Linked DNA regions of Arabidopsis thaliana. The protein of the gene in region 1 interacts with the protein of each later gene in a biochemical or structural test. Each region holds a gene or a part of one and is shown on either strand. Other genes may lie near its edges.

What was found. The genes of interacting proteins can lie anywhere in the genome.
Region 2: of the proteins of FTA (region 1) and RAC3, one has a biochemical effect on the other in vitro, tested with the Arabidopsis thaliana proteins (one study listed by BioGRID).

Annotation. Positions count from the first base shown.
Region 1 is NC_003074.8:21,942,186-21,946,507, forward strand, and holds FTA (farnesyltransferase A), read left to right. Parts: upstream 1-1,984; 5' UTR 1,985-2,023; coding exon 2,024-2,248; intron 2,249-2,384; coding exon 2,385-2,494; intron 2,495-2,764; coding exon 2,765-2,885; intron 2,886-2,970; coding exon 2,971-3,066; intron 3,067-3,167; coding exon 3,168-3,596; 3' UTR 3,597-3,822; downstream 3,823-4,322. Other genes in the region: AT3G59370 (Vacuolar calcium-binding protein-like protein), read right to left, coding at 1-147, 333-347; AT3G59390 (glycosyltransferase family protein), read left to right, coding at 3,975-4,060, 4,146-4,222. UniProt on the Arabidopsis thaliana protein: Essential subunit of both the farnesyltransferase and the geranylgeranyltransferase complex.
Region 2 is NC_003075.7:16,670,181-16,675,296, reverse strand, and holds RAC3 (RAC-like 3), read right to left. Parts: upstream 3,106-5,116; 5' UTR 3,054-3,105; exon of another isoform or gene 2,877-3,053; intron 2,514-2,876; exon of another isoform or gene 2,466-2,513; 5' UTR 2,443-2,465; intron 2,379-2,442; exon of another isoform or gene 2,332-2,378; 5' UTR 2,122-2,331; coding exon 2,023-2,121; intron 1,719-2,022; coding exon 1,631-1,718; intron 1,547-1,630; coding exon 1,437-1,546; intron 1,335-1,436; coding exon 1,271-1,334; coding exon of another isoform or gene 1,191-1,270; exon of another isoform or gene 1,173-1,190; coding exon 1,108-1,172; intron 1,027-1,107; coding exon 961-1,026; intron 862-960; coding exon 757-861; 3' UTR 508-756; downstream 1-507. Other genes in the region: BGAL11 (beta-galactosidase 11), read left to right, coding at 3,323-3,532, 3,626-3,721, 3,820-3,932, 4,018-4,084, 4,174-4,266, 4,358-4,501, 4,583-4,677, 4,770-4,875 and 1 more. UniProt on the Arabidopsis thaliana protein: Inactive GDP-bound Rho GTPases reside in the cytosol, are found in a complex with Rho GDP-dissociation inhibitors (Rho GDIs), and are released from the GDI protein in order to translocate to membranes upon activation.

The DNA.
Region 1 (4,322 bases):
CACAACTGTTGGAGTTTCAGTGATCACTGCTGCCTTCTCTTCTTCATCCTCATTTGTCTTCTCTGCATCTTCCACAAACACTTCTTCCGGGTGTTGATTCACCTCCGTCTCAACGATCTCTACTGCTACTGAAGTCACGTGTTCAACCTGTAAGCGAAAACACACTTATTAAACGAAAAAATGCATGCCGTTTAAACGGCGAATAGTCCATATCACTTGATAGACATAGATTTCTAGATACATGATATATATATATATATATATTAACAACGAATATGAACCATAGATACAGGTTTATAGTTTGACAAAATAAAAATAAAGAGAATATATACCTCAACGGTGGCCATTTCGAAGGAAAATATAGTGTATGTGATGCTTTGGTGTATGAAGAGATTTGATCAAGATGAGAGGTATTTATAGTAGAAGCAAACCGTTTACAATAATGTTTTTTCAAACTAAATATCTATTAAGATAAAATTATTAGTTTTTTGAAAGAACCATGATGATGATTATTGCACATGAACGAACCTTTTTTTTGCTTATATATAAAAGCAATTGTACTATTTTACACCTCATGCCCACATAGTATGGGGTGACTGGAGAGGGCTTTAGAGGGTAGCTGTTACTTTATATAAGCTGTAAAGTCTTATACTGTGATTTTTATTTTTTAAAAAATAAAGCTATGACTTAAAAAAAAATATAGTTTTACGAATTTTTACTTTAAAATAAGTTGTAAAGTTATATACATACTGTAAATTTTATTTTAGGAATTTTTTCATATTTTTAAAAAGTACAAAATAAAATATTGTTTTTGTTATTCCTCAGCTCTTGTGAAAAATCATTACTTAATCTTCATTAATCGATTGTTTAGGTCTTATTAATCATGTGTTGAGTTGGGACCATGATTAAGCAATAAGAGTCATTTACCTCCTGTCAAGTATGCATATGCATATACTTTTGGTTGTTGAATATTGTTGGTTGCAAGCAGTACAATCGGGAGAGAAAGGATCGAAAGATCGACAAAGGTGTTGCTAAAGCTGAGGGTGCTGATTAATCAAGGATTAATCAATACGATATCTGAAGCTAAAACTAGAACACCAAAATGTTGATTCATGATCTTAACTCCTAAACATTTCCTTGGTTAATGAAAGAGTTCGTTCATCTTTCAAACCATTGACAATAATAGCAGCTGTCACCTCTTCTTCACCATTACGGGCTTCTTCTTGATGTAATGGTGAATAGTAAGGCCTCTATGCTGTTATACAATGCTTTAAGTACAAGGATTTAAAAAATATTTACAAGCCTTTTTTTAAGAGTTTTAAAAGGATTTACAATGATTTTAAAGGATTTTAAAACTTTTATAATTCCTTTTAAAGTCATTTGAAAACTTTTGTAAATGCTTTCAAAACTCTCAAAAAATTTTTTTTTTTTTTTTTAAACTCTTAAAATTATCCTTGTTGTATATATTATTTAAAGCCTTTTAAACCCTTAAAATATATTTTACAATGGTTTTAAATGATTTATAAGGATTCTAAAATATTGAAAAAATGTTTTAAAAAGGATTTTAAAGTATTTACATGTATATTTAAAAACTTTATAAGGATTTTAATAAGTTTTAAAATGGTTTACAAGAGTTTTTAACAATTTTACAAAGCTTTAAAAAACTTTACTAGGATTTTCTAAGAATTTTTAAAGGATTTACAATGGTTTTTTAAGGGTTCTAAACAAAATTAGAAAGACTTTAAATGCAATTTTTTGGCGGGAAAAAACAGAGAAAATAAAATTTTGGCACTTAAAATTTAGGTGGGTAAGTTTTGGTTTCTAACTACATGTTCTCATTAGATTTGATGATGATTAATTTAGTCATTTTGGTTAAGAAAGTGGTTATTTTTAAAAATGGGCCAAAAAAGGATATCATAGTAGAATTGTGGTTTGGGCTTAAAAGCCCATTACCCCTCCCCTAATTAGTTTTCAACTTTTCATGGAGTCTTCGGTTTTCGACTTTGGATCGGAGTCGGGGAACATGAATTTCGACGAGACCGTGCCACTGAGCCAACGATTGGAGTGGTCAGACGTGGTCCCATTGACTCAGGACGATGGTCCGAATCCAGTGGTGCCAATTGCCTACAAGGAAGAGTTCCGCGAGACTATGGATTACTTCCGTGCGATTTACTTTTCCGACGAGCGATCTCCTCGCGCACTACGACTCACGGAAGAAACCCTCCTCTTAAACTCCGGCAACTACACAGTAATCAATCTTATAATTCATATAATCAACAACTATCTGAACTCTTATGGTTTTGAAATTTGATGGATTTTAGTCTTTTATTGGTCCTTGTTGCTTCAATTTTTAGTCTTACCGATATTTTTGTTTACCTTTGAAGGTGTGGCATTTCAGGCGCCTAGTACTCGAGGCCCTTAATCACGACTTGTTTGAAGAACTCGAGTTCATCGAACGCATTGCTGAGGATAACTCTAAGAACTACCAACTGTGGTAAAGTTCATACCTTTTCACACCTTGTTTGATCTATGTGCTTTTGATCATGAAAGTCTATGAGTGAGTTATACTTTTGAAAATTGTCTGATGAATAATTTTGAATCAATAAATGTATATTCTACTTCTCCATAGATGAAAGTTTGTTCTTGTACACATTGTTAAGTTCATAGTGTCTCATATCTGCTGATTATACAACGTTAAAACCCTTGGTTGTTTGTTTTGAGTTTGATGGTCCATGCTTCTGCTCTATGTTTTCCTTTTCTCTAGGCATCATCGGCGATGGGTTGCAGAGAAACTGGGTCCTGATGTTGCAGGGAGAGAACTTGAATTTACCCGTAGAGTACTTTCACTTGATGCCAAACATTATCATGCTTGGTCACATAGGCAGGTTTGCGATCTCAAACCTTGTTAAAGCATTCACTTGGGGTATCATTGCATATCTTTTTGTTTGATAATATGGAAACAATCTGCAGTGGACACTACGGGCATTAGGAGGATGGGAAGATGAGCTCGATTACTGTCACGAGCTCCTTGAAGCTGACGTCTTTAACAATTCCGCCTGGAATCAGGTAACTTGATCGTTGATACACATACGAAATTCTGTATCTCTAATCTATCAATTGCCGATTCTGTCACCTATTTGTATAATCTCATTCCCTTAATCTGACAGAGGTATTATGTCATCACCCAATCTCCTTTGTTGGGAGGCCTAGAAGCCATGAGAGAATCTGAAGTAAGCTACACAATCAAAGCCATTTTAACCAATCCTGCAAACGAGAGCTCATGGCGATACCTAAAAGCTCTTTACAAAGACGACAAAGAATCCTGGATTAGTGATCCAAGTGTTTCCTCAGTCTGTTTGAATGTTCTATCCCGCACAGATTGCTTCCATGGATTCGCTCTGAGCACCCTTTTGGATCTTCTATGTGATGGACTGAGACCAACCAACGAGCATAAAGACTCAGTGAGAGCTCTAGCTAATGAAGAACCAGAGACTAACTTGGCCAATTTGGTGTGTACTATTCTTGGTCGTGTAGATCCTGTAAGAGCTAACTATTGGGCATGGAGGAAGAGCAAGATTACAGTGGCAGCAATTTGAATATGTGACGCCCCAAAATCACACTTGAAAAAGACTTGATTATTAGTTTTTACGTATGTACTGCTTATTTATGAATCACATGTTCATGTTAACATGTATCAAAACAATCTTGATTTCTCAGTTTCCTTCGCCTTGTGATATTCAGAGAAGCTTTCTCAAGAATGATTTTGCATCACACACTTTGACTAAACGCATTGCTCTCTCGATAACCGGAAGATCAAAACCGAAACCGGGTTTTGGTTTGGCTCGCGGATTTCCCCAATTCAATTTTAACGACAAAACTATACTAATTCATAAGATTAAAAAAAAAGTTTCTGAAGTGGTCGAAGTCGGAAGCGTGATTTGGTCGAAAGATTGGTTCTTTCTCCGACAAGAATTATGTCCAAATCTGGGTTTAGTCTGCTGTTCCTCGTTCTTCTACTTATCATGGGTTTCTTATTTCCGTTGAGAGTTTCTGCAATTAGGTGATTAATTTTGGGTAACAACCATTGCTTCTATGAATTGTCCCGCTTAGTTTCATTTCCTTGAGATTTTCGAATGAATTTGCAGGAAGGATATCGGATTTTTGGAAGAGCGGAGTTGCAGAACAACTGTCCAAGGAAGATACTTGATCTCCGATGATGAAGGTTAGCGATTTCCACTCTTGGAAAGATTCACCTTTTTGAACATTTTGAATCTCTTTCGACTTAGATTTGGTGATCCATGAATGGTTTGTTGTTGCAACTT
Region 2 (5,116 bases), on another chromosome or scaffold:
GGTGAATATTAGTTCACTAAACGTCATGACACATATCTAATCATTTCAATTAGTTTAGGAATCGAATAATACGTGGGTCTAAATCAAGGGGCAGATAACGCAAAGAAAGAGATTGATCAACAAACATATATGTTTGGTAAAGAGAAGCCAAGCTTATTCACCATAAATTTTATTTAATCAATGATTTATTTTTCCTTTTTTTTGTCTTTTCCGGTGAGAGTTAAAATCAATCATTCTATTATCTCCAAGGGGAAAACGTCTAGTCAATAAGCAAAATGAATATCAAATAAATTTGATTAAAAATGTAAAATCAAAAGTTTTGAGGTTCTGAAATCATTGAAGATTATAGTCTAAAGATCAGGTTAGGTCTATGTGGAATTGATATGTATGGAAGACACTCTGGCTCATTCAGAAGGTTTCAAATAAGCTGGTTTAGATACTATTGTCCAAGAAAGACAAGTGCTCTCTCATTCTCATTGGTTCGCGCGTGTAAGCTCTCATTGTCTTTAGGTTTGGAACATAATCCTTAAGACAATTGGTGTGAATCTAGGAAACAGAGAAATCAAGGATTCGTGGTATATTTACAGATCAAAATGCAAACAAGAATACAAATACTTGTTACTAGTTCTTCAACTTTTGTCATTTTCAGACTACAAACAACAGATTTTTGATTCCTTGGGTAAACAAGTTATGAAAAAGGAGAAAACAAATACTTATAGCTCTAATTCTCCTGTTGATTCCTTTCTTCTTGTTGAATCAGAGTATAGAACAACCTTTCTGAGATTTTCTCTTCTTCTTCTTCTTGTTTTTTGGTGGCTGGAGAACGACCTTGATAGCCGCATCAAACACTGCTTTCACATTCTGTTGAACAGATAACAGATATAGGAATCATCAGCAGATTCAATTGGCGGTTTTAGACAGGTAAAGATTAGATAAAGATATTGACTCTCAGGTTAATACCTGTTGAGTTTTTGCACTGCATTCGATATAAGCAGGCGCCCCAATCAGCTTCTTTAGTTCTTCACCCTGTTTTGATACCATCAAAATATGAAACATGCAGAATATTAACACCTAGGATTCAGTTTAGAAAGATAATGAGAAAGGTACCTGAGCGGTAGAGATAGGCACAGCACCAGGGTGCTCGGCAAAGAATTGCTTATCATCTCGAAGATCTGTACGAGACTCAGTCATCAAAATATCAGAAGAGTTCCCCAAAACAGAAAACCCCCGATAATCAGGCGATTAAGAGTTGAGCTAAGAAAAAACCAACCAAGCTTTGTTCCAACGAGGATGATGGGAACACCAGGAGCATAATGTCTCAGTTCAGGAACCCACTAAGAATCAAAAGCAAGATACCAAATGTATTCTATCAGAATCACTGAATGTAAACTGAATAAAACAGGAAAGAAGTTTCAGGAGAAGACCACAGATCAAACCTTTTTAGAAACATTTTCATAGCTAGCTTTGCTGACAAGTGAGAATGCAAGTAAGAAGACATCTGCACCGCGATAGCTCAAAGGTCTTAGTCTATTGTAGTCCTCTTGCCCTGTTTCACCAAGTCAAAAACACAAATGACTCTCTGGAAGAGGAGGAAATTCAAAAGACAAAAAAATCCAAGGTAACAACTTGCCTGCAGTATCCCACAATCCCAAGTTGATAGTGTTGCCATCAACAATCACATTGGCACTGAAATTATCGAACACAGTTGGCACATAATCCTGTCACATAGAAAATTCCACTAAAACATCAGCTACAAAATCTCCTTACAGAAAGTTACCTAACACTCTTTCTAAGATCATTAAACAGATCAACAACATTGCTACGGTACATGAATCTCTGAGTCTCTCAAATCCTAAAGATCACATCAGTACATTCACTAAGGTAGCAGAAAGAAGAAGACTTTAAGAAAACCTAACAAATACTTGTGACTAAATCCAACTCATAAGCTTCAACAACAAAACCAACTTCACCAAGCTAAAATTTCACGAAATCAAAGTAAAAGAAGAGAACTTTAAAGCTAACCGTGGGGAAAGTGTTGCTAGTGTAGGAGATGAGAAGACAAGTCTTTCCAACAGCACCGTCGCCGACAGTGACACACTTGATAAACCTTGAAGCACTCATCTTTCTCTCCTTCTTCAAACTTCAAAAACCCTAATTTGTTCACGAATTGGGGATTTTTGACTAAAGAGAGAGAGAGTGAGGTTCTTTAAAGAGAAAGAAGACAAAGAAATAGCTGCTGAAAGTCTCTCCCAGACTAGAGTCTTCCTAATTTTTACTACTCATCCTCACATGCACCTCAATTTCTTGGTCTTCTTCTTCCTTTTTTTTCTTCTTTTTACTAAAATTTTATAAAATAGCATTTCTTCTTAGATAGTGCGTTTCCCAACATAAGACCCTACAAAAATTTATGGGATGAAAATTATAATAATAATTTCTATGTACTTTTTTTTTTTTTTTTTTTTAAACTTCGTTTTCATCTAATACTATGCAGCCCATATACTAAATGCCTAAATCTATACATATTTAGATTGATCTTTAAATATCAATAAAAAATTTAGCTAAATTTTGACTGGTTTAGAGGATTTTTCCGATGTGTCATTAGGATTATACAACTATGGTTTAAATATCAATAAAAAATATAGCTGGTTTTACAATGCAATATGATTGGAGTGTTAATTTTTATTGATCAGCCTCCTTTGGATACATATTCTTCTGTTACATGTTAAATGATAATATTTTTGTCCCGGTATGTTGAAGTAAACATTAAAAATGTACATACAACTTCTCTAAGAAATAAATGTTGAGACACTAAAAAAAACGTGAACTTAAGGTCAATATTTAATATTTTTATAACCAATCACGGTATAAAGGCTTACCTTTTGAATCTGTCTAGCTAGTTATTGACCGTTAATTTTAAAAACACTTATTGACCGTTAAAGAATCTGTTATGGGGACCCAAAAAAAACGAATGGTAATTTCACTAATTTGTTATGTTATGTCCAACATAATAGGCGAAGAATAGGGTGAAACCAACATTTAAAAATAGCAAAAACAAATTAAAAAAAAAAAATCGAAAAGGAAAAATGAAGAGAGTTTCAAAGTTACAACGGTGGATTCTATTTCAGACGCGTAAATTTCTCCGGAAACCTGAAAACCTGAGTGCGAAACATTCTCTTATATCATCCTCTTTTCTGAAAGCTTGTTATTTGAGCTCTCCTTGTTTTTTATTCCTCCGACAAGGACGAGGTTCCAAGAGAACTTAGCTTCTTGTTCTACGTACGACACCAAAAATTAATTCAAAAAAGAAAAAGAAGAGAGTTCAATGAGAAAACATTCTCTTGATCGATGGCTTTTAACAGCTGTTCTTGTCGTTCTCCTCTCGTCTTCTTCCTCCTTCGCGGCCAAGAAGGACGCCAAGAAGAAGAAGAAGAGTAATAAGGAGGTGACATATGATGGAACCTCTTTGATCATCGATGGCAAAAGAGAGCTTCTTTATTCTGGCTCTATTCATTACCCGAGAAGCACTCCGGAAGTATTTATTGAATCACATAATCTCTGTTTTTCTAAAACGTTTTTTTTTTTTTTTTGTATATTGAGATTATTGTGTCATTTGGGTTTGGTTTAGATGTGGCCAAGTATCATCAAGAGAGCCAAGCAAGGCGGTTTGAACACGATTCAGACATACGTTTTCTGGAATGTACATGAGCCTCAACAAGGAAAGGTAATTCATAACCAAAAACTGATCTATATATAGAACATATAAAACACGCATGCATGAATCTTTAGGATTCATAATGTATTTTGTGTTGCGTTCATCAGTTCAACTTTTCGGGACGAGCTGATTTGGTGAAGTTCATAAAGTTGATTCAAAAGAATGGAATGTATGTGACCTTAAGGCTTGGACCGTTCATCCAAGCTGAATGGACTCATGGGTAATAATGCATTGCTTCTTCTTCTTTTTCGGCGTTCTCAAGATCTTCATTTTAACATTTTATATGATCTCTTTGTGATGATCAGAGGACTTCCTTATTGGCTTAGAGAAGTTCCTGGAATTTTCTTCCGTACAGACAATAAACAATTCAAGGTATTATACATAGAATTACTATATATATGTCAATGTGTGTTTTGTTACAATTAGATATATTACAAGATATGACCATAAAAATATTGCAGGAGCATACAGAAAGGTATGTACGGATGATACTCGACAAAATGAAGGAGGAAAGATTGTTTGCGTCACAAGGAGGCCCCATTATATTAGGACAGGTGACAACAAAGAAAAGAGAAACCTATATATTTATATATGATTTGAAAAATGTTATAAAATGATGAGTTTTGGAATGAATATGAATTGCAGATAGAAAACGAATATAGCGCGGTTCAACGTGCATATAAACAAGACGGGTTAAACTACATTAAATGGGCATCTAATTTGGTGGACTCAATGAAACTCGGGATCCCATGGGTTATGTGCAAGCAGAACGACGCTCCTGATCCTATGGTAAAGTTCATTTTTACATGATTGTGTTTTATCCGAATGAGGAAGAAAGTTTTAAAATATTTGAAAACACTGTGGAAACAGATCAATGCTTGTAATGGAAGACATTGCGGTGATACTTTCCCCGGTCCAAACAGAGAAAACAAACCATCTTTATGGACTGAGAATTGGACTACTCAGTGAGTTTGTTTTTCTTACTCTTGAATTAAACATGTAAAAACCTTAGGTTCATTCATATAAGTGTTGAATATCTTGCCAATTTCTTCAATAGGTTCCGCGTGTTTGGTGATCCGCCAACTCAAAGATCAGTAGAAGATATCGCGTATTCAGTTGCTCGATTCTTCTCCAAGAACGGAACCCATGTCAACTACTACATGGTAAAAATTATGATCCATTCGAGTTAACCATATATGCAAAAATGATTGTCAAAATTCTCAAAATGGTTCTTTAATCTTGTAGTACCACGGAGGGACTAACTTTGGAAGAACCTCTGCACATTATGTGACCACTAGATACTACGATGATGCACCTCTTGATGAATATGGTTTAGAGAAAGAGCCTAAGTATGGTCATCTTAAGCATCTTCACAACGCTCTTAACCTCTGCAAGAAGCCACTT